5 linked regions of the Macaca fascicularis genome follow. The protein of the gene in region 4 purifies or fractionates together with the protein of the main gene of each other region. This does not show direct contact. Links are inferred from orthologs where the notes say so. Each region holds a gene or a part of one and is shown on either strand. Other genes may lie near its edges.

Region 1 (5,011 bases), on a different chromosome or scaffold from region 4:
CCAGGCATGGTGGCCCTCACCTGTGGTCTTAGCTACACAGGAGGCTGAGGCAGAAGGATCACTTAAGCAAGGCCCTGTACCAAAAAATAAGTAAAAGTAAAAAATAAATGGTTATTTTTGTTGTTGTTTGGTCTGAATGTTCTACTAAACTGGAAGCTCAGCTAGTCATGGTGGCTCATGCGTGTAATCCCAACACTTCGGGAGGATCCCTTGAGACCAGGAGTTTGAGACCAGCCTGGACAACATAGTGAGATCCCATCTCCACATGAATAAATAAACTGGGCCGGGTGCGGTGGCTCACGCCTGTAATCCCAGCACTTTGGGAGGCCGAGGCAGGTGGATCACGAGGTCAGGAGTTCAAGATCAGCCTAACCAACATGGTGAAACCCCATCTCTAGTAAAAATACAAAAAAATTAGCCGGGTGTGATGGCGGGCGACTATAGTCTCAGCTACTCGGGAGGCTGAGACGCAGAATTGCTTGAACCCGGGAGGTAGAGGTTGTAGTGAGTCGAGATCACACCACTACACTCCAGCCTGGGCAACAGAGTGAGACTCCATCTCAGAAAAAAAAAAAAAAGACAGGCGCGGTGGCTCACGCCTGTAATCTCAGCACTTTGGGAGGCCAAGGCGGGCAGATCACGAGGTCAGGAGTTCGAGACCAGCCTGACCAACATGGTAAAACCCCGTCTCTACTAAAAATACAAAAATTAGCTGGGCGTGGTGGTGCGTGCCTGTAATCCCAGCTACTCTGGAGGCTGAGGCAGGAGAATCACTTGAACCCAGGAGGCGGAGGTTGCAGTGAGCTGAGATCATGCCACTGCACTCCAGCCTGAGCCACAGAGCGAGACTCCGTCTCAATAAATAAACTGGAAGTTGTTTGAAACCAAAACCACGTATGTCTTCAGTTTTTGGTACAGAGTCCTGCACAAAATAGGCATCTTTTATTTATTTTAGAGATGGGGTCTCCATATGTTGCCCAGGCTGGAGTGCAGTGGCTATTCACAGGTGCGATCATATCACAGCTGACTGCAGCCTCAAATTCCTGGGCTCAAGTGATCCTCCTGCTTCAGCCTCCCGAATACTTGAGACTACTAGATACTCGAGAAAAGGCAAGAATGTGGTCTGAATGTTGGGAAAGCAGTTCATCTGGTGAAGAGAGGAGAGGATTCCAGGTGAGGAACAGGTATGTGCAAAGGCCAGAAGGCATCCTGAAGAAACGCGAAGAAAGGCGTGGTTGGAGCACAGCGGCAGAGCCAGAGGGCAAAGGTGCTGGACAGGAGAGGCGGGAGGACAGAGACAGCGCAGGAGCGCGGTTCCACAGGGTCAGGTCCCTAACACGCTGGCCAGAGCAGGGAGCCGACCTCCAAACTCCCAGGGAAAAGAATCAGTTGCCCACCGGCAGCACCTCACACCTCGCCCTGACTACAGCACGTGCGCCCGGCCCGCCTCGCACCCCGGCCCGGGTGGGGGCTCAGGGGACTCCCGGGGCGCTCAGGAGGGACGCCCCGGGCGGGGCGCGCAGGCGCGCTGAGGCCGCGAGCCCCAAGGGGCGGGCGGGTGCGCGCGCTTCCTCGCGCACGCGCGCACAGAGGGGGCGACGGCCGCGGTGACGCTGCGGCGGCGGCGGCGGCGGGCGGGCGGCGGCGCGAGGCGCGCGATACCCGGTGTCTTGGGAGCAGTGCCCTGGCCCCCGCCGCTCCCGCCGCCGCCATGTCGGGCCGGTCGGTCCGGGCGGAGACCCGCAGCCGGGCCAAAGACGACATCAAGAAGGTGATGGCGGCCATCGAGAAAGTGCGGAAATGGTGAGGGGCCGGAGGTTAGGGGGCTGGCGGGGGTCGCGGGTCCAGGCCCTGAGGAGCGCGGGACTGGCGAGTCGGGTGGGAGCCGACCGGCCGGCGCTGGGGGAGGGGGACGCGGGAGAAGGCGGGAGGAGGGCGCCGCTGGCGTCGGCGTGAGGTCAGAGGGCGCGCCGGCCGCGGCCAATCAGCGGGCCGCCCAGTTCGCGGGCCCGCCCACCTGCTGCGGCTGCGGTCGCGCGCTGCCCGGGAGGGGATGCCGGCTTCCGGCCCGTGCTGGGGCCGCCTGGCCTCGGTGTCGCCGCGCCCGGCCCAGCCGGGGGCCCGCCCTCCACTCTTCCTGGGTTTTGGCCCCGCCTGCGTTTCCAAGCTGGCCCTTGATAATAGCGAGTATCCCTGGAGTGATTTCAACCCGCCAGGCTGAGAGCTCTGCGTATTCAGGCATTGAAGTTGGGTGAGTTTATGGGTTTGTCTGTTAAGGGAGGAAGCCTGGTGTCATCCAAAGGAAAACCCCTCACTTTCCCCCAGAACCCGGCCCCTGCGCCGCGAGCTTGGTAGGCATTTTCTCTTGCTGCCCTGACGGCTGTCAGGAGAGTCCTTTGCAAACTATGTACCAGCCTCCCTTTAATTTCTCTGGTTCTGCTCTTGCTCATTACCCAGCCCGTTCATCGTCTGCACTGAGTGATTTTATTTTTCTCACTTCCAAGTAGCAGTGGTCTTTTTAAAGTGCACGTCCTTACTTGGGAGGCTGTGGTGGGAGGATTGCTGGGACCCAGGAGTTGGAGGCTGCAGTGAGCTATGATCGTGCCACGGCACTCCAGCCTGGGCTACGGCGAGAGACCCCATGTCTAAAATGTGCATGGAAGACGCCGGTTGAGCACGTATTTTGTATCCAGATCTCCGATACACACTGTGTCGGTGTGTATCAGAGTCATCACGTTAAACTTTCATAGCCAACTTTGTCAAGTTTTTTGTATAGCCAATTACTACCCATTATTAAAAACCCAAGTATGGCTAGGTGAGGTGGCTCAGGCATGTAATCCCAGTACTTCGGGAGGCTGAGGCGGGCGGATCGCTTGAGGCCAGGAGTTTGAGACCAGCCTGGGCAACATAGTGAGACCCGGTCTCTACAAAAACTAAAAGTTCAAGTAGATATTACCTCCCGCCAGGAAGCCTTCCTTAACGTCTCCCACCCCTCACCCTTTACTCCCTTTAAGATCATTGGTACATTGACCTTTATTTGTGTGTTTATCTGTCCATTTCCACACAAGAGGGAAGTTCCTTCTCTTTCTATGTCTGAGGGCTTCATATATAGTTGGGTTTCCGTATAAATAGTTTAATTTATTCATGGTTTTCCTCGTCCACCTTTAATCCTCCAAGATTTTGGTGAAACCTGAGAACAGGCACACCCTTCTCTTCTCCCCATTTTTGACCCCCCGCCCCTAGCAGGCTAGGCTCAAGGGCCGTCCTCTGTCACCTGGAACTCTGTACCAGCCTCTTCTCTCTCTGCTGCTCTTGCTCATTCCCCAATCTGTTCATTGTCACCGAGTGATTTTATTTTTCTCTCTTCCGAGTTACAGAGTGATCTTAAAGTGCACAGCTTTATTTGGGAGGCTGTGGTGGGAGGATCGCTGGAGCCCAGGAGTTGAGGCCGCAGTGAACTATGGTCATACCATGGCACTCCATCCTGGGCAACAGAGCGAGACCCCATCTGTAAAAAATATATAAAATGTGCATCTTATGCTAGCACCCCTAGTAATGCTTCAGTGGTTCCATTCTTGCTTTTAGGATAAATACCGAAGAAGGCCTTCCTTCCTGCCTCACTTGGCTGGCTCTTTCCCAGGATGCCCACCGTCTTTCCAGTGAAGTCACTCTGCTCTTCCTGCCGCCTGGCATTCTTCTTCCTCTCTTTTCTCCTCCCTCTTGCTGAGTTAACTCCTAGCGCAGCTCAAAAGTTGCTTCCTTAGGTTCACCACTTGAGATTCCCAATCTAGATCAAGTCCCCTTCACAGAACTTTCCACGATTGTATTAGATGGACTCATAAGACATTTCTTATATTTGACTTCTGTTTTGTTTTTCTTTTTAGACAGAGTCTTGCTGTGTCACCCAGGTTGGAGTGCAGTGGTGCAATCTTGGCTCACTGCAACCTCTGCTTCCCAGGTTCAAGCAATTCTGCCTCAGCCTTCTGAGTAGCTGATTGCAAGTGTACACCACCACACCCAGCTAATTTTTGTATTTTTGTAGAGACTGGGTTTCACCATGTTGGCCAGGCTGGTCTTGAACTCCTGACTTCAAGTGGTCCTCCCACCTCGACCTCCCAAAGTGCTGGGATTACAGATGTGAGCCACTGCATCTGGTCTCCTGTATTTGGCTAATTAACCTACAAAAATGGCAATTTGATATGGTTAAACCTAATAATTAAGTGACTAATCCTGAATTGAGCTATTCATGTCTGTTTCCAGATATAAGACAGGGTCTGTGAGGGCAGGGACCATGGATCTTGTTCTCTGCATCGCCAGGTCCTAGCACAGCCTGTTGTAGACTAATTGGTTGAATAAATGAGAAAATGGAGTGGTCTGTTCAGGAATTCTAGTTATTTTCTAAGACTTTAATTCATTCCTTCTGTTACATCACAGTCTTTTTACACTCCCAGTATGTCTTTTTTTTTTTTTTTTTTTGAGACCCAGTGTTGCTCTGTTGCCCAGGCTAGAGTACAGTGGTGTGATCTTGACTCACTGCAGCCTCCGCCTCTGGGGTTCAAGCAATTCTTTCGCCTCAGCCTCCTGAGTAGTCGGGATTACAGGTGTGTGCCACCATGCCCGGCTAATTTTTGTATTTTTAGTGAGGACAGGATTTTACCATGTTGCCCAGGCTGGTCTCGAACTCCTGGGCTCAAGTGATCCACCCACCTCAGCCTTCCAAAGTGCTGGGATTACAGGCGTGAGCTGCCGTCATCATTTGCTGAACAACATCAACAATTACAACAGCAGTTACTTTTTTTGCTTTTTCGTGACTTCACATTTGGACTTGACCCTTTGAGAAGTTGGCTCAGATCTGTGACAAAGCAGTTCTCTGCATTTGGCCCTTGTTCCTACTGACAGCAAGCACCTCTTAAGGTATCAGTGGACCTTACAATAAGCAGATTCGTTCTCTGCCTGGCATGCTTAGGGAATAACCTTCTTGGAATGAAGGAGAGGCTGGGCACGGTGGCTC
Region 2 (4,446 bases), on a different chromosome or scaffold from region 4:
AAGAATTTTCATTCCTGTAGAAGGGGATATATATGTGTATGTGTGTGAAGGTATATAGATACCTCCTTCGTAGTAATGTTGTGAGGAATCCTCATAAGGCCTATCGTAGCCTTGTTCAGGATACGACGGTTGCTGATAACCGTAATCATTATGACCTACATCAATTCGACAAGAGACAGGAAGAAACGTTAATGGCCACTGAGTGAAAACCCTAAAAATATTTAAACTTTCAGATAAAATTGAAAAAAAAGGAAAAGAAATGGAACATAAAAAATAATTTCAATTGCATTAGCCAAAGATTTACCAATGTGATTGTTTTCATATTGAGATAACGTGCAATTTTTTTAAAAGCAAAAAGCAGTAGTTTTAGAAACATTACACTTATTGTTTTAAATCTGATAATCCTCATTGAGGGAAAAAAAAAAAAACTATCTCCCATTTTAAAAAAAGAGAATAAAAGTATCTAGGTCTTTCACATGTAAATAACCTAAATTAAATTAGAATGAACAAAGGAAGTAATTATCATATTTTGTCAAACACCTGTTCTGCTGGTCTCCAATTCCACAGCATATGCTAAAAACAATGCAAAATATAAAAGAGCTCCATAAGTTTCTCCCCTGAAAGAAACTGAAAAATTTTCATGTTCTAACATTTACTTGCATAAACTTAAGTATCTCAAAGTATCTTCAGATACAAAATTATATATCTTAATGCTGCCATTTTGGAAATCTTTAGAAAATATTTCAAGTATCATAAACATACATCTTCATAAAATTAATATTGTGTTGAGAGTATATCTTCAGTTTTAAAGCACAATAAATTTTACCTTCGAGATAATTGGACTCTAGTGAAAAATAATAGTCTCACTCTCTTTTTAAGTTTCACTAAGAAAATGTAGGAAATAACCTTTTAGTTATCTAAAATCTAAACTCAATTTTACAAAAATGCCTAATTAAGGACACAGGAATAAAAATTACAAATAAACATTATTCAGTGCTCTAGTATTCTAATGTTCCCAAGCCACCTCATAAATAGCTACATGAAGGGTTGGCAAACTATGGCCTACAGTCTTAATATGGCCAGTGGCATGTTTTTGTAAATAAAATTTTATTGGAATACAGTCATGCCCATTCATTTCAGTATTGTCCACAGCTGCTTTCATGCTACAATAAGAGTTCAGTAGTTGAGACCAAGACCATATGGCCCACAAAGACTAAAGTATTTATTATCTGGCCCTTTACAGAAAAAGTTTGCCAATTCCTAATCTATATATTTACTAACATAAATATCCGGACATGAGAGAAAAGAGCCAATGTTGTTTACAAATATTAATTGTCGATATAAATAGAATACTCTATGTAAATGTCAGATATAAAGTAATACACACCTATGCAAAAATGATACCCTTCAAATTAAAATCCACTAATAAAATGAAAGAAAGTAACCTTAACGTTTTGATATTCACAAAATAACAAACCAGTATATTTTGAACAGAAAGGTTATACTATAACAAAACAAATTTCACATTTCAAGAGACAGCCAGGATCAAAATAACAATGTCAAGTTTAACTCTTTAAAATGTAATTAAAATTTAAAAACATAGAAACAATCATTTATTTTCAGCCAACTTCTCAATACATATAATTTAACAAAGATTTCACATCTTTAAAATATGTATAGCTTACAACCTTACTAAAGTTTTTAATTTTAAAAAAATCTTAATACCATGTTTACATATGAAAAGAAAAACAAAACAAAACAAAAACCAACGTCCTTAAGTACAAATGTACCTTTATGCTTTATGTATTAATAAAAAATGACAGGCGAGATTTTTTTCAAATATCCTAAATTATACCTTCTTGCTAGCTTACATGGGCTGCTAGTCAATGTCTGCTAGTACTTTAGCTTTAAGTTTCTTAGTTTCTCTGTTCAGTAATTTATATTTACATCAAAGGATCATATATGTGAACAAGGCTTTTGGCAAATCCTAACAACCCATACCATTTTGTAATGTATTTTTGAATTACTTTTTTCTTCTACATTGTATTACAAAATTTCCAAGCATACAGAAAAATGGATGAAACTATACTGTGAAAACCTACTTGTATGCTTGGATTATTGCTATTCAAATTTTCCTAAAGTACTGTGCATCTTACTAACCAATTTTTCACAAGCCACCTTCTACAAAAAACAAAAAACCCTAACTAAAAACCTTATTTCCAAATGCCTGTCCCATTCTACTCAATCTCTACACGGCTATATTATGGATATAATTTGGTCTCCCAAGTTTTTCTCAAAGGCAAGCACTAATGTAAACCTTAGTTTGTTGAGAAGTATGAAACATTAATTAAAATGATGAGACTTGGAAAAATAACTCAAGAACTATATTCTCTATGTATTTGTACAATGAATACAAGTCAACTAAGGGTGAACTTTATGTTATGTGAATTATATCTTAATGAAGCTCTTATTAAAAAAAGAGTAAATCAATAAACACAAGCTTTTGCTGAAATCAAACAACCCTAAATATATTACAAAAGGATCCTCTTTTATATAAGGATTCCAATGACAGACTGTGATTCCTGATGGTACTAATGGAACAGCTACACAAAATACACTTTGAATTAGATTATAAACTAATGCTATCATTGGTACTTTAGAGTACTGAAGTGTTTCTAAATTTAGAAGAAACAAATTGTTAGCTTCTTCATCCTCATTAAAATGTTTTTATATAACTCTCTACATGAATACTAGGCAGAGATAGAAAGTGGGAAAGTTAACATCAGGAGAGATTACCATCAGGGTAATACTGCTGGTTCATGCCTTCTGGAGGACCTTGTCCACCATGACTGTATTGGTCCCCATAATAGTCTTCCTGGCCTGAGTACTGCTGTGGTGGGCCTGAAAAATGACAACCAGTCAAGAAATAAATAATGTATTCTCTATGTCATCAAAGGCTTTCTTTCTAATTTGATATGAAAGATTATTTCTCAACTATAGATTCCTGTCTCCTGATACCTGCATTTCAGATACCTTTAGCTATTCATATACATACGCATACAGATACACACAGAGCAGCTCCACATACCACATTTACTAAAATCAATGTTAAGACCATACATGCAATATCAAAAAACACCAACTCAGAAAAACAAACGCTAACTTCTTAAAAATAGGTTCAAACTGGTAGCAAATGTATTTCCTTTGCTGTGAGGTAAAATTGGGTTTATTCCTGATCCTTTATTTAATAATTTTTCAAAAACAAAACAGTATTTTCTGTTGTAAATTAGTGAGCTTTTGATACATAATTTTATGATATAACTTTTTCCAGAAAATAATAGATAAAAAGAAAGCTGTGTATCAAGAAGTTCTTATCTACTTTGTGACAGCTTTGTACCTAGTAGAACCCTATCATTTGTTAAAAAAACAAAAAAAAGAAGAAAAACGAAACAAAAAGTCCTGACTTTGTCTAGATTAAAAGGTCATTAAAATGTACAGCCTTTCAATTACATGAGGTAGCAAATTTTCCAAATGGAATCTCACCCTGTTGAGGAGGTCTATAGGGAGGAATCTGTCTCTGACCCATCATATGATTGCCTTGATTAACTTGACCCATCATTCCCATGGGTGGCTGCTGTCCTTGGTAATGCTGTCCGCCTCCCTGTGGCATATTGTATTGCTGAGAAGGAGGCTGCTGATGCATCATTGGACCTGAAACAAGACACAACATTATATACATAATTTTTTGTATATAACTTTAACATCTCAAGAGAAATAAGATAATCTTTTATCATATAGTCCCCAAAATATATAATGAAATGCAGTAAAAACTGATTTCAAATAATAAAAATAAGTCTTTGAATTAAAACTCACATGCCTAAAATAATCTGCAAACAAAATAAAATAACCAGTCCATGGTGGTTAACTTGAAATCCGGCCGGGCACGGTGGTTCACGCCTGTAATCCCAGCACTTTGGGAGGCCGAGGAGGGCGGATCACGAGGTCAGGAGATCGAGACCATCCTGGCTAACACGGTGAAACCCAGTCTCTACTAAAAATACAAAAAATTAGCCGGGCGCAGTGGCAGGCGCCTGTAGTCCCAGCTACTTGGGAGGCTGAAGCAGGAGAATGGCGTGAACCCGGGAGGCAGAGCTTGCAGTGAGCCAAGATTGCACCACTGCACTCCAGCCTGGGCAGCAGAGCGAGACTCTATTTCAAAACAAACAAAAAAACAAAAATCCACTAGAAGATAATTCTTAGTCATTTTTTAAAACAAAATGACATAATATATGAACATCTTGAATGTATTTTCCATTACACACTATCTAATATTTATCTATACCATCTTTCTTGAGAAGATATCATCCTCATGCTACACTGGGAAATACACCAAAAGTAAACTTTACAAAATCACACAGCAAATCAGTGGTTAAACAAAGGGAAAGA
Region 3 (4,446 bases), on a different chromosome or scaffold from region 4:
TGAGTGAGAGTCTATACTTAGAAGCAAAAGAGAAGCCAGTCAGTACCTGACAATAACCAGGGATTGAAGTAAGAACAGAACTGCAGGGGCCTGCTTCCTGGACCCCAGCTTCTGTTTCAGTTCTAGAAACTGCATGGCCCCAGTGAAGAGGAGGCTGATTTCCATCAAAGCTCCCTTAGCCACAGGGATAATCTTGTACCTTTCGCGCTCGACTGTTGGTCACAGGAAACTCGCCCAGGCTGTCATCATCAACTCGGGGATCCGGGGCGCCTCGCTTCTCCAGGGGGTCAGTGCGCAACAGAGCCTCTAAACTACTGCCATCCTGAGAGATCAGCCCCTCCTTCTTCAGGGTTTGGTCTGTGTCTGCAAGCAAGATCAGGATGAAGCAAAGCTCAGAATGGCTGAAAGCAGACTGCTCTGAGTCCACATAATGCTAGGGCTTACCAAAGGTCTGTCACTGTCTTTTGTTCCCCGGATGCCCAGGAATTAAGACACCCTAGTTCACTTGGCACCATAACTTATCTGTTTACCTGTCTCCCCTTCTAGACTAAGCTCTTTAAAGGAAAGAATCACATCATATTCACTTGAGTATATTTGGGATCTAGTACTGGGCCTGGTATATCGTAGTGATTAGCAGGCTCTAACCATGCAGCAGGCCACGCCTCTGCGCAGGAAGTATGTGCCTTACCTGGCTTAATAGATGGGAAGGAAAGTCGTGGATCCTCAGGCGGATGGGCTCGCCGCTTTTTCCGCCAGCGCCGGGCAGGGTAGGAGTACAGCTGTCCAGAGGCCAATCCTACGGCAGGAAGAAAGATAGAAGTCAGGCCCTAACCCAGTATTAGAAAATAATACCAAACACTTTCTAATTACGTAGTCTCCCCCTTTTGAGTTCTAGAGCAAGGGAGGAATTCTGACAGTGAGGGCCTAGGGGGTTAGATGGAACAGTCTGTGGAAAAGAAAAATAGATATATAAGCTTAGGGGCCTTGGCTAATACATAGTTCTCCAGACACACAATGGCCTCAGCAGGGTAGAAAACAAAGATGCTGGTATCAACCTATCTGCTTCATCCTCCCTGCGTTTCTAACCACAGGAAGACCATATTCATCCATAGGTGGAAGGCAGTAGGGAAAACCCTATCAACTGTCTCATCACCTAAGATGAGGAGGCTTCTTCCTCCTTATGCTCCTGAGTCCCCTTCTCCCAAGTCTGGACCCTCACCTGGACCCCGGTGTCGCTTTTCCATCCAGATGTAACAATTGCTCTGGGCTACTCCGGTCTGTGAGTCCAAGAAAGGCAGGCGCACGCTGCGCTCAGCACAGAGGCGAGCGTTGTAATTGTGGCACTGCTCCATGGCATCTTTGTAGTACTGCTCCCCAAGGCTGCAGAGAAGATAGAAACCAGGCGTGTGTGTTGGAGTGAGGAGCATAGGGTGCTGAGCTATTCCTCTCCCCTGTCATCTGCTTCTCTAGAAGGCTCAAGGGACTGGGAGGCTGTCTCTTCCATTCTATTTGCCTCCACTTCTGCCTCACGGGACACCAAGCCCCTTTTCTAGGCCACCATTAGGAATTACTTTACGAATAAATTACTATCAGGAACACATGATTTCATCATATGTCTAATCAGACTTAAGTCTAACCCCCAAAGAGGGTAAGGAACTAATGTTCACTCCATGTGTCTCACAAGCCCAGCCCTGTGCTAGTTAAGATGTTGTTTCTCTTAACCCTTATGACGCTGAGAAGCAAACAATAGTCCCCCCTAAGTTCCTCCTTATTTCCTCCTTCCTAGAATCACCTCCCAAATAAACTACATGCTCCCACATCCTTGCCCCAAGGTCTGCTCCAGAGGGAAAGAGTTCAAGGTCTAGGGGGCTTATTAAAATGTATTCAGCAAACTAGTAAATCCATACAATGAAATTCTATTTAGCCATAAGAAGGAAGCTCTTCACATACTGATATTAAAGAATTTCAAGTTAACTAGGGACAAAAAGCAAAGCAAGGTACACTGCTGAGAAGTGTCAAAGAAAGCTATCATTTATGTAACAAAATGGAAAAGAAACTGCAGGTCAGCAGGGAGAAAAAGTGGGTGACTAGGCCATTTCCTTCCATATGCCTTTTTATAGCTTTTGAATTTTGAACTAGGTTTTTAATCAACTAATTAATTTTACATTTATGGAAGATATCTACAAGTACCTGAAGTTCCTTGAAGTTTTTATTGAGCGCCATCACTGATAAGAAACTTGTTTGCTCTAAGGCCCATCTTAGGGTGCTTCTCTATTCTTACAAAATAAAATTATATAGGAAAAAATCTCCTTGGTCTCAAAAGACTCAATTTGAAATCTGAATCAAGGGTAAACCTTTAAGTGGAAAACTGGAAAACTGCACAGTGCCAGGTTCTAAGAAGCATGTACGTAGAACCTATCTTGTTCTCATCTTGCAGGGTTTAACCAGGACTTTGGTAATGGAGGTTAAACAAACTCTATCAGTTCATATTTATATTCAATCAATCTATGTTGCCCAAGCTAGACACAAACTCCTGGCTTAAGTGATCCTCCTACCTTAGCCTCCCAAGTATCTGGGAATAGAGGCATGTGTCACAGTACCTGGTGTCAATCAATCTTAAACCAAAGGCAGAACTGATTTCTTTCTCATAGTATCTCCAATACTCACGAAGATGTCTGAGATACAGTCAGACCTGACTTGAGAGTAAAAAGACCTGGCTGGCCTGCAAGTCACCACATGAACATGGACATTTAGTCAACCCAGGTGGACCTTGGCTATTCTTCTATAGATTGAGGAGGTTGGACCAAATGAGCTTTGACATATCAGGATTTTACAAGAAACAGCCTGGGGATGAAACAGCAAACAGATTAAGTCTCTGTGGTTTCTGTCCATAACTCGGGCTACACCAAAAAATCCTGATCTGGAATGTGATGGGGGCCTTCAGCGAGCAGCCACGATAGACCACTGCATAACTTACCATGTGCCCAGCAAGTAAAAAAGACATATAGCACACACAGAGATGGCAACGCCACAAATACGGCCTGGTATGATTCAATGAGCTGTAATGACTGTAATCTGAGGTAGGCACGAATCTCACGTTGGAGAGCAGAATGGAGAAAGCAGCCTCGCCTCTGCGAGCTCGCCTTTAGGAGGCAGCCACGTCTTCACCACACAGAATAAAACTGGATAAACAAGGCTGAGTGCCGCAGCTCCTTTGTTTCTGCTGATGGGAATTGATACTGACACTGGAAGTCAAATGGAAGGCAGGGCCAGGCTGGCGAGGGCTGCAAAGTCAGAGCAAGGAGGCTGGAAACAGTATTGGGAGGAATGAATGAAAGATGTTCTGTCAGGGCTCTTGTGAGCTACGTGGGATCTCAAAAGGTAAAGCAAACAGTCTTGGGGATACAAGGGCTGGGAATGAAACATGGAAGTGTTTGTGAGGGGAGAATCTGATGAAGAGAGAACAGGACAGGATGAGGGTGAGCTCTTAAGAACTTAAGGGAGGCTGGGCACAGTGGCTCATGCTCCATCACTTTGGGAGGCCAAGGCCGGTGGATCTCTTGAGACCAAGACTTAGAGACCAGCTTGGGCAACATAGTCAGATCCCATCTCTACAAAACGTTAAAAATAAATAAACCATCAGCTAGGTTTGGTGGTGCAGGCCTGTGGTCCCACGTAGTCCCTGGGGTGGATGAGGTAGGGGAATCATTTGAGCCTAGGAAGTTGAGGGTGCAGTAAACCAAGGTTATACCACTGCACTTCAGCCTGGGGGACAGAGGGAGGCTCTGTCTCTTAAAACAAAACAAAACAAAACAACAACAACAAAAACTTAAGGCTCCAGTACCAAGAAATGTCAAGTTAACATTAACACTGTTCTCTCTCTCTCTCTCTATATATATACATATATATCTTTTCGAGACAAGAGTCTTGCTTTGCCGCCCAGGCTGGAGTGCAGTGGCGCAATCTCGGCTCACTGCAGCTTCTGCCTCCTGGGTTCCAACGATTCTCTTGCCTCAGGCTCCCGAGTGGCGTGCGCCACCATGCCCAGTTAATTTTTGTATTCTTAGTAGAGACAGGGTTTCACCATGTTGGCCAAGCTGGTCTCAAACTCCTGACCTCATGATCCGCCCACCTCGGCCTCCCAAAGTTCTGGGATTATAGGCGTGAGCCACCGGCCCAGCTTCATTTTTTTTTTTGAGATGGAGTCTTGCTCTGTCACCCAGGTTGGAGTGCAGTGGCGCAATCTCGGCTTACTGCAACCTCCACCTCCTGGGTTCAAGCGATTCCCCTCCCTCAGTATCCCGAGTAGCTGGGATTACAGGCGCACGCCACCACGCCCAGCTAATTTTTGTATTTTTAGTAGAGTGGGGTTTCGCCATGCTGGCCAGGATGGTCTCAATCTCCTGACCTTGTGATCCGCCCGCCTCGGCCTCCCAAAGTGCTGGG
Region 4 (5,072 bases):
TGTTAGGATTTACTAGAAAAGCTAAGAGATCGTTTGTATTTAATAGTTGCTGTTGTTTCCCAGCGCTGTGGAGGGAGATGATCTGGCATGGACTCCCATTTGCAAGCTGGGTAACCTGAGGCAAATCTCTTACCCTCTGTCTCTCATCCTTTGTTTCCTGTTTGACACTGAGGTTTGTGTTTCAGGGGGAAAAGAAACTGTAACTTAATCTGCCTACTTAGGGTCTTTTATTCCAGTCCCTGTGAAAATTCAACCCCCATGTAATTTGTTACTTCAGTCAATATACAATTAACACACTATTGGAGGTTTATTGGCTGATAATTTCATCATTGCCACATTTTTCCAAATTGATTTATTAATGGATGAAGCTAGGCCTAGAAGATGCTTTACGCATTTGACTTCTGTCCTGGCTTAGGGCCTCATTAAAATCTGAATTTTGATGGTTAGCTTGTATTTTAACCAATAAACGAATTCTCCCTCTACTTTTTAATCCTCAAAAGAAAATCAAATTTTTAATTAAAATAGAATCAGAAAAAGTCATAGTTTAGAAGGATGCAAATAACAGGAAAAGAGGGAAAAAAGCAGATTGTCAATGACTCTTAAAGAGAGAAATGTGTGCTATGGCAAGTGGTATTTATTGGTAAAGACCAAAGTAATTTACAATTTTTTTAAAAAAAGATGTTCATATTTTGCTTATTAGTGCTGTGAAGAATCAGTACTACAAGTGGCATGATTAAACAAGGGATGCCTTTTTTTACCTGCTTCACAAAATTATTATAAGAATTAAATGTGGTAACATATATGAAAGCAATTTGCCGATTACAAAGTTCTCCATAAATGTATAGTATTGCCAGAGCAGCCATTCCTTAGAGACTATCAACTTTGGGTCACTAATTTCTATGTGGCTTCATGGGCTTTAATTCAATGAGTTTCAGGAAATAATAGGCCTTGATCAGCGCTGCAGAATTTGCCCCCACAAGAATACCAAATATACCGCCTGCAGAGTATTTTATTTGCTTTAAAGGCCAAAGATCTTTTTCTTATTTTAAAAAATGCATAAGATTTTCTGTTTCTGAAACAATAAGTGGTACTGACATCTCTCAAGACTGAAAGCACTATTGTCTCATTTTAAGAACCACCTTCTTATTAGGAGAGGATGTTGTTGGCAGGAATGAATAATTAGGTAACTCTTTGTGGGCACATTTTCTTCAAGTCCCAAGGGGAACGTACAATTGTAACATCTCCTTGGATTATTTCACAAACATATGGCAAATGAAGCACCTGAGCCAGATGTACAAGCATATTATAGTATGTCTGTTTTAACTTAAAACTGTGAAATACATCAGATGGTGAAGTTATTTTGGTTGTGAACATCCATCATGGAAACAGCATGGAAGCATCTTTTCTTTATTGTCCATTTTACTTGGACTGGAAATAATCAAGAACAAAACAGTTTGGAAATCATCATTTGCAGTACAAGATTCCAGGTAAAGTTCAAGACCTAATGAAGTACATGGTCTGGATTTAGCTGGGCCTCAGACATCCCCACATAGTTTGTTAATGCCTGTCACCAATATTCACTGCTGGCAGGCTTGGAGTCTCAGATTACCTATGATTATTTTCAGTTCTTTTTTACCCCATCATCTTGTGTTTTTACTCCCCTAGACATGCATGTGGGTTATTTTGTAGGTATTTTTTAAATAATGAGAATATATTTTCTACTGATTCAGTAGCGAGTTTTTGCTGTTTTTTTTTAACCGTATTTTATTATTACAACATTGGTTGCTTATTTTACTAAAGAATCATCATCTGGTATTGGCTTCTTGGAATCATAGTGATCTAAGCAGAAATATCCATCCCATTTGCTTTTGAAATATATTTCAAAATGAATGGTATACTTTTTAATCTGAATTACTCATGTTTCAGAATTAGAAGCTATAGGTGCCACAGAACCCTCAAGTGTACAGTAAGAAAATAAAGAATACACAGGCACGGGCAACTATATTCTCCCTTCAATGCATATGCGCAAATTCCATTAGCATTAATGAGTTCTCTGCACATGTACTTAAGAGAATGTGGACCAAGTCACAATGTAATCTATTTCTTTATCCAAGTTAAAAAAGTGATGGGGCGGCGGGGCTTGCGTTGTATTCCTGAGCTTTTCTTGAGAATTAGAATGATACAGGGCTGAGAGCATGCAAACAGTATGGTGGCAGCGACACCAGGGAAAAGGCACTTACTTTTTACAGCCAGTATGGCATACAGCAGAGATTTGGGGGTTGAATTACTATGGTTGGCAAATGTTGAAGCTGACAATAGAGGTCCACAGAGTCCTGGATATTCTGGCTTTGTGTTGCATCAAAATAAGGAAACAAAATATTTATGAACTTAATTCTGCCTCTCATTTTTTCCCCCCTTGAAATGGCAATTCTCTGCATGATGATGTGTATAGATGTGCAGTTCAGATGTGTTCCTAGCCAACACAGCATTTCATAATGCGGTGCACCTGTGTTTTCTTGGTCACCCTGTTGTCACCAGGGTGTGTTAAAGCACCCTCTCCAAAATAATTGAGTAGGAGGCAGGGCAGGAAGTGTCAGGGAAGGGGGCAGGATCTCTCCTCCGCCTTTATTTCTAACGTCTTCTCATTTGGAAAGATTGGAATGTAGATTTAATTTCAGGTGACAATGTCAGGTTTATCCCAGTTCAGAGATGTTGATAAATCCTGGTATGGGACTGCGGTGACCCTGTGTGCCCTCATACTCTACCTATCTCACAGGGATGTAGCTGTGTTTATAAAACTCACATCTAATATTGCAGAAGTGCTAAGGTCAGGGCATCTGAGCCACACGGTATCAGGCATACAACCACACAAAACTGTGCATCACGCAGAGGCCCCCTTTGTAAAGCTGCTAACCCAAGAACCTCTCTCCCGGATCAGTGGAGCCTCCAGTGTATGAATGACCCTTAACCTTAGCAAGCCCAGCACTCTGATGAGTCTGAGAAATGCACTTTTAGCATTGGGAGAAGCCACAAAAAGCTAAACAAAATGACTAGCAATGAAGGCAGACAACAAAACAAAGATACTGAATTTGTGCCCTTACCTTCATTTCCCCCCTGAAGATTTAAATTTCTGATGGTAAAAGCAATAATATTCTGACCTTAAAGGGCTGAGGTTCTGTGGCCACCGGTTGTTTAAAGGATCATTCCTCAGCGGCATTGTATCACCGGCCCTAGCAGCGGCGGCGGTGGCGACAACCACCACAAAAACTGGAGTTCAGTCATATTGGCATCAGATTCTGGAAAGGGGAGGGCAGGGAGAAAGGGAGTCTATTGGCCTAAAAAGCTGAAACATCTGCTGGAGTTATTAACAGCTTTTTGGCTGAGTTCAGCAGCAGGGCACCTTGTGGTTGATAGATTCTTCTCTCAGCAATTCAAAACAATGCAGTTAAAGCAAATTCCTCATTTTCAGAGCCCAGCTTAATGAGGCATACAGTATTTTAAAAATAGTCACACTTAAAATGGTCAATAGCAGTGACTGCAATCAGTGGTTACCTTCAGTACTCTATTGCGTTGTTAACTTTGCCAGGGTGATTGCATAACACGGATTTTTCAAAAGACCATGTAGCTCACTGTTAACTCACTTTGTAGGAATTTACATTATTTATGAAGTTTATGCAGATCATCCTAGGGTGTAAATACTGGCAAACTTGATCAAAACCACTTAGAGGCCTCCTGGCTATCCTTTCCCAAAAGTGTGCATTAAGCCACTTTAGGCTCAGAAGTCCAATTCCAGGAAAGGTTCCAAGGGGCCAAATTTTGGAGATAAAATGAAAGGCAACATGTGAACAGCCTGAGCTGGAAAAAACACTGAGTTGGAAGTCAGGGTCGAAGGTTCTAGCTCTAGTCCTAATACTAACTGGCTGTGTGAGTCCTTGCGGGAGTCACTCAATCTTTCTGCTTCAATTTCTTTCTGTATAAATTTATGGGGCCAATTAAAGGGTATGTCTCCAAATGTTTCTGTCCAGCTCTGCCATCTTAGGAACTATGGAGCTCAAATCCAATTTTAAAGTATTCCCCTTATGATAGCCATGAATTGCAACCACACTGAAGACTGTTCACCAATATGTGACAGTATGTGTGGTATTTGGGTAGGGGCATCAGACGAACAAACTGCAAAGTTAAATAGCTCTGTCAGTCACTTCAAGTGAATGCACCATATGCTGCAACAGACGTGGGCAAAGTACAACCAGCCCCAACTGGATTTGCTAGCCTGTTAGTTTATCTGGCCAGATGACAGTGTCCAGCCCCAAAAAGGGTCATGCGCAGCTTTGCATCCTACTGATCCAGCATGCTAACTTTGGCAGAAGGAAGGGAGTGGCAAGGGAGAGAGAAGGCAGACCAGTGGTGAGTCAACATCTGTGACAGAGCTGAAGTCAGCCTCACTCCTCTTTCATCACTTGCCTAGCACATGGAAAGAGAGGAGAGAGAGTTTGCCAAGTTATTGTTTCCTCCAGCAAATACATGATCTGATCCCCAGTTGCAGAGGCAAATCACAGAATGGTGCCCTCCTTTCTGCATTCTGGTCCAAGGATCTCTAAGGACAGTGCAAGAATTCTCTATTAAACATTTTTTTCTGGTTGGTTCTAAGATACAGTTAAATCCTGATAGGGTCTTATGAATGTGATGGTGTTTCTAGTCTCTATCACCAGATTCTACCATTAAAGCTAAGGGTGCATGATCCAAGGTCAAACTGATTTGTCTGGTCCTCTACCTCAGTAAGAATCTCAGGTTTTGCTCAAACCTGCTGGGAGCACTGTACAAGTTAAGTGAATAAAAACAAATCAAAGCCTTTTCACACTGCCTGAAGGGCTCATGTGGTGTGGTCCTTGATTCCTGAATAAACTTAAAGGGAAATCATCACAATATCAAGAGCCCTTGTCCTGCAGATGAAGAAGGAGATTGTCCTCCACTTCCTTGCTGCAGAAGCCACTTGGTTGGTACCTGGCTTGACTTTTAGATGAAACCCTGTATCTATAGAATAAAGCCTCAGACCACTCAAAGAAGCCGGGAGA
Region 5 (4,284 bases), on a different chromosome or scaffold from region 4:
AAAAAAAGAAAAGAAAAAAGAGAAATATGCCTTCCAAAGTGCTGGGATTACAGGCATGAGCCACCACACCCAGCAAACACATCTCTTATAGTTACTTTTGCATGGCATATCTTGTTACATCCTTTTACTTACAAACTATCTCTGAGTATAAAGGCACCATATACAGTCATGTGTTGCTTAAGGATGGGGAAACATTCTGAGAAATGGGTCATGGGCGATTTTGTCATTGTGCAGACATCATGGAGTGTAGTCACACAAACCTAGATGGTATAACCTGCTACTACAAATCTAGACTGTATCATATAGACTATTGCTCCTAGGCTACAGATCTGTACAGCATGTTACTGTCCTGAATACTATAGGTGACATATATAATTTTGTAACACGATGGTAAGTATTTGTGTATTTAAACACAGAAAAGGTACAGTAAAAATACAGCGTAAAAGATAAAATGGCATGCCACGCTGGTATACCACGGTATGCCATGGTAAGTACCTAGGGCACTTACCAGAATGGAGCCTGCAGGACTGGAAGTGGCCCTAGATGAGTTAGTAAGTCAGTAGGGAGCGAATGTGAAGTCCTAGAACATTATGGTACACCATTGTAGGCTTTATGAATGCTGTATATATAGGCTACATTAAATTTACAAAGAAGATTTTTTCTGCAGTAATAAATTAATTTTAGCTAACTGCAACTCTTGGTGCAAATGTAATTGCGGTTTCGGACCATGAATTTTAAATCATTATAACTAGGCTCAAACACATCTTTATTAATCAAAATTCATACCATTACAATCAACCATTCCAATCAACACATTTTTACAATCAACACATTTTTTCCAGTGAGAAATAAGTTTGTTTATTCCTGTATCGTAATAATCTGTGCTTTGGGATTCAGAAAACTCTTGGAAAGCATTTTCTGCATCGTGCTGGGTGTGGAAGCGTTTTCCTTGCAAAAAACCGTTGGGATGCGTGAAGAAGTGGTAGTCAGTAGGCAAGAGGTCAGGTGAATATGGTGGATGAAGCAAAACTTCATAGCTCCATTTGTTCAACTTTTTTTTTTTTTTTTTTTTTTTTTGAGACAGAGTCTCGCTCTGTCACCCAGGCTGGAGTGCAGTGGCATGAGCCACCACAACCTCCACCTTCTGGGTTTAAGCAGTTCTCTTGCCTCAGCCTCTCGAGTAGCTGGGATTACATGCGCCAGCTATCATACCCAGTTAATTTTTGTATTTTTAGTAGAGACGGGTTTCACCATGTTGGCCAGGCTGTTCTCGAACTCCTGACCTCAAGTGATCTGTCCACCTTGGCCTCCCAAAATGTTGGGATTACAGGCGTGAGCCACCGTACCCAACCTCAACTTTTGAAGCGTTGGTTATGCGATGTGTGGTTGCTGTCATGGAGAATAACTGGGCCCTTTCTGGTGAGCAATGCCACAGCAGGCCTTGCAGTTTTCCGTGCATCTCATCCATTTGCTGAGCATACTTCTCAGATGTAATGGTTTCACTGGGATTCAGAAAGCTGCAGTGGATCAGACCAGCAGCAGACCACCAAACAGTTACTGTGACCTTTTTTTGGTGCAAGGTTGGCTTTGGGAAGTGCTTTAGAGCTACTTCTCAGTACACTCATAGAGCTGGTTGTTGCCGGTTGTCATATAAAATCGACTTTTTGTCGCACGTCACAATCTGATCAAGAAATGGTTCATTGTTGTTGCATAGAATAAGAGAAGAAGACACTTCAAAATGACTTTTTAAAAAATATTTGGTAAGGTCATGAGGCACCCACTTATTGAGCTTTTTCACCTTTCCAATTTGCTTCAAACGCCAAATGGCCATAGAATGGTCGATGGTTGAGTTCTTGGGCAACTTCCCGTGTAGTTTTAAGAGGATCAGCTTCAATGATTGCTTTCAGTTGGTCATTGTCAATTTCCGATGGCCGGATGTTATGTTCCTCATCTTCAAGGCTCTCATCTTCTTTGCAAAACTGCTTGAACCACCACTGTACTGTATGTTTGTTAGCAGTTCCTGGGCCAAATGTGTTGTTGATGTTGCGATGTATCTCTGTTGCTTTATGACCCATTTTTAACTTGAATAAGAAAATTGCTTGAATTTGCTTTTTGTCTAACATCATTTCCATAGTCTAAAATAAATGTAAAATAAACAGCAGTAATAAGTCATTAAAAAAATAAAGTGAGAAATGCCCATTAAAATGATGTATAACATAACCACATTTATTTAAGAATGTATTCCAAAATCAAATGGCAAATTCCAACAATTACTTTTGCACTCACCTAGTAACTTTATACATTTTTTTTTTTTTTTTTTTGGTGAGATGGAGTCCCGCTTTGTCGCTCAGCCTGGAGTGCAGTGTCGTGATCTCGACTCATGGCAACCTCCGCCTCCCGGGTTCAAGCGATTCTCCTGCCTCAGCCTCCCAAGTAGCTGGGATTACAGGCGCATGCCAACACGGCTGGCTAATTTTTGTATTTTTAGTAGAGACGGGGTTTCACCATATTAGTCAGGCTGGTCTCGAACTCCTGACCTCAGGTGATTCACCCGCCTCAGCTTCCCAAAGTGCTGAAATTACAGGTGTGAGCCACCTCACACACCCAAACTTTTTAATTTTTTAAACTTACTGACTCTTTTGTCAATAAACTTATTAATAAATGTTATTACACTTAAAGTACACATTGTACAGCTGTACAAAAATATTTCCCTTCTTTATATCCTTATTCTAGAAGCTTTTTCTATTTTATTTAATTTATTTATTTTTTGAGACGGAGTCTTGCTCTTGTTGCCCAGGCTGGAGAGCAATGGCATGATCTCGGCTCACCGCAACCTCCGCCTCCTGTGTTCAAGCGATTCTCCTGTCTCTGCCTCCCGAGTAACTGGGATTACAGGCGTGCGCCACCACGCCTGGCTAATTTTGTATTTTTTTTAGTAGAGATGGGGTTTCTCCATGTTGGTCAGGCTGGTCTCAAACTCCTGACCTCAGGTGATCCACCCGTCTCGGCCTCCCAAAGTGCTGGGATTACAGGCGTGAGCCACCACGCCTGGCCAACTTTTTCTATTTTAAAAAGTATATTTTTCAATATTTTAAACTTTTTTGTTAATAACTAAGACACATATACACACACACACACATCAGCCTAGGCCTACACTAGGTCAAGATCATCGAGATCACTGTCTTCCACCTCCACATCATGCCCCTCTGGAAGGTCTTCAGAGGCAGTAACACGCATGGAGCTGTTATCTCCTATGATAACACATTCTTCTGGAATTCCTCCTGTAGGACCTGCCTGAGGCTCTTCTTGAGGGACTATCACTCTTTCAAAAAATGTCCATAGTGGTTTGCTTGGTTTCTTTCTTTTATTTTAATCATACATTTGCTTGTAAACAGATAATGCACCACAAGCATATCTCTCTATTAATGAAAACCATTCAGTGTGGGGGTCCATGTTTTCAACGTTTTAAGGAGTTTGTTGAGGTCTGCAGCAGCTTCTGCTAAACCCTTCACTGTGAATTTTCTTCTGGGTTTTTCTTCTCCTGCAGTTTTTTTTTTCTCTTGCCTCTTCTTCAGCTATGTGTTCCTGTTCCAGTTCCAACAGCTCCTCGTTAGTCAATTCCTCAGGAATTACCTCTAAGCACTCTACCGTGTCATCCTCATCCACACCCAGGTTAAAATTATTTGCCACCTCAACCACAGCTTTATTGATTTTTGAAACCTCCTCATCCTTGACAAATACTTTGAAGTCATGGACCAACCTTTTGACCGTCTTCCTCCAGATGGCATTCATACCGCATGGTGACATCACCCCAAGTCTAAGCAGGGTTCTTGATGCAGTCACAGATGTGTTGTAATCCTTCCAGAATTGTCTCAGTGTCTGCTCAGTGTCTTCCTCAGCTGCAGCAATCACCTGGGCAAAGGTCTCCTCAGGTAATAGGCCTTAAAAGCTGCTATACCTCCATGATCCATTGGTTGAAGCAAAGAGGTGGTGTTTGGAGGGGAAAACACCACCTAGATATTGGGATGAATATCACCAGTAAAAGGAGGATGTACGGGAGCCTTATAAACAATAAGCAAAATCTTGAAAAATATATTATCCTCCAAACAGTATTTCTGCATTTCTCTGGCAAAACAATTCAGGATTGCATCTTGGAAGAGGAGCTAGGTCCTCCATGACTTCTTACCGCTCCTATAGTACACTGGCCATGCGTGCTTACTGATGTGCTTAAAGGCCCTGTGGTTCTCACTATGCCAGATCACAAAGGGTTTCAATTTGTAGCCT

The links.
Region 1: the proteins of SMARCA2 (region 4) and BCL7B purify together in Homo sapiens (affinity purification with mass spectrometry; 3 studies listed by BioGRID, with this or other methods). This does not show direct contact. The link is inferred for Macaca fascicularis from reciprocal best matches to the Homo sapiens genes SMARCA2 and BCL7B.
Region 2: the proteins of SMARCA2 (region 4) and SS18 purify together in Homo sapiens (affinity purification with mass spectrometry; 6 studies listed by BioGRID and IntAct, counting the BioPlex papers as one, with this or other methods). This does not show direct contact. The link is inferred for Macaca fascicularis from reciprocal best matches to the Homo sapiens genes SMARCA2 and SS18.
Region 3: the proteins of SMARCA2 (region 4) and DPF2 purify together in Homo sapiens (affinity purification with mass spectrometry; 6 studies listed by BioGRID and IntAct, counting the BioPlex papers as one, with this or other methods). This does not show direct contact. The link is inferred for Macaca fascicularis from reciprocal best matches to the Homo sapiens genes SMARCA2 and DPF2.
Region 5: the proteins of SMARCA2 (region 4) and BCL7C purify together in Homo sapiens (affinity purification with mass spectrometry; 4 studies listed by BioGRID and IntAct, counting the BioPlex papers as one, with this or other methods). This does not show direct contact. The link is inferred for Macaca fascicularis from reciprocal best matches to the Homo sapiens genes SMARCA2 and BCL7C.

The regions. Positions count from the first base shown.
Region 1 is NC_088377.1:52,421,328-52,426,338, reverse strand, and holds the start of BCL7B (B-cell CLL/lymphoma 7 protein family member B), read left to right. Parts: upstream 1-1,586; 5' UTR 1,587-1,711; coding exon 1,712-1,803; intron 1,804-2,058; exon of another isoform or gene 2,059-2,251; intron 2,252-5,011. UniProt on the Homo sapiens protein: Positive regulator of apoptosis. Plays a role in the Wnt signaling pathway, negatively regulating the expression of Wnt signaling components CTNNB1 and HMGA1.
Region 2 is NC_088392.1:63,737,845-63,742,290, reverse strand, and holds part of SS18 (protein SSXT), read right to left. Parts: intron 3,712-4,446; coding exon 3,544-3,711; intron 2,902-3,543; coding exon 2,797-2,901; intron 156-2,796; coding exon 63-155; intron 1-62. UniProt on the Homo sapiens protein: Appears to function synergistically with RBM14 as a transcriptional coactivator. Isoform 1 and isoform 2 function in nuclear receptor coactivation. Isoform 1 and isoform 2 function in general transcriptional coactivation.
Region 3 is NC_088388.1:9,035,593-9,040,038, forward strand, and holds part of DPF2 (zinc finger protein ubi-d4), read right to left. Parts: intron 1,381-4,446; coding exon 1,220-1,380; intron 797-1,219; coding exon 689-796; intron 364-688; coding exon 200-363; intron 1-199. UniProt on the Homo sapiens protein: Plays an active role in transcriptional regulation by binding modified histones H3 and H4. Is a negative regulator of myeloid differentiation of hematopoietic progenitor cells. Might also have a role in the development and maturation of lymphoid cells.
Region 4 is NC_088389.1:97,177,231-97,182,302, forward strand, and holds the start of SMARCA2 (probable global transcription activator SNF2L2), read right to left. Parts: upstream 3,299-5,072; 5' UTR 3,159-3,298; intron 1-3,158. UniProt on the Homo sapiens protein: ATPase involved in transcriptional activation and repression of select genes by chromatin remodeling (alteration of DNA-nucleosome topology).
Region 5 is NC_088394.1:29,026,153-29,030,436, forward strand, and holds the end of BCL7C (B-cell CLL/lymphoma 7 protein family member C), read right to left. Parts: intron 2,136-4,284; coding exon 1,782-2,135; 3' UTR 752-1,781; downstream 1-751. UniProt on the Homo sapiens protein: May play an anti-apoptotic role.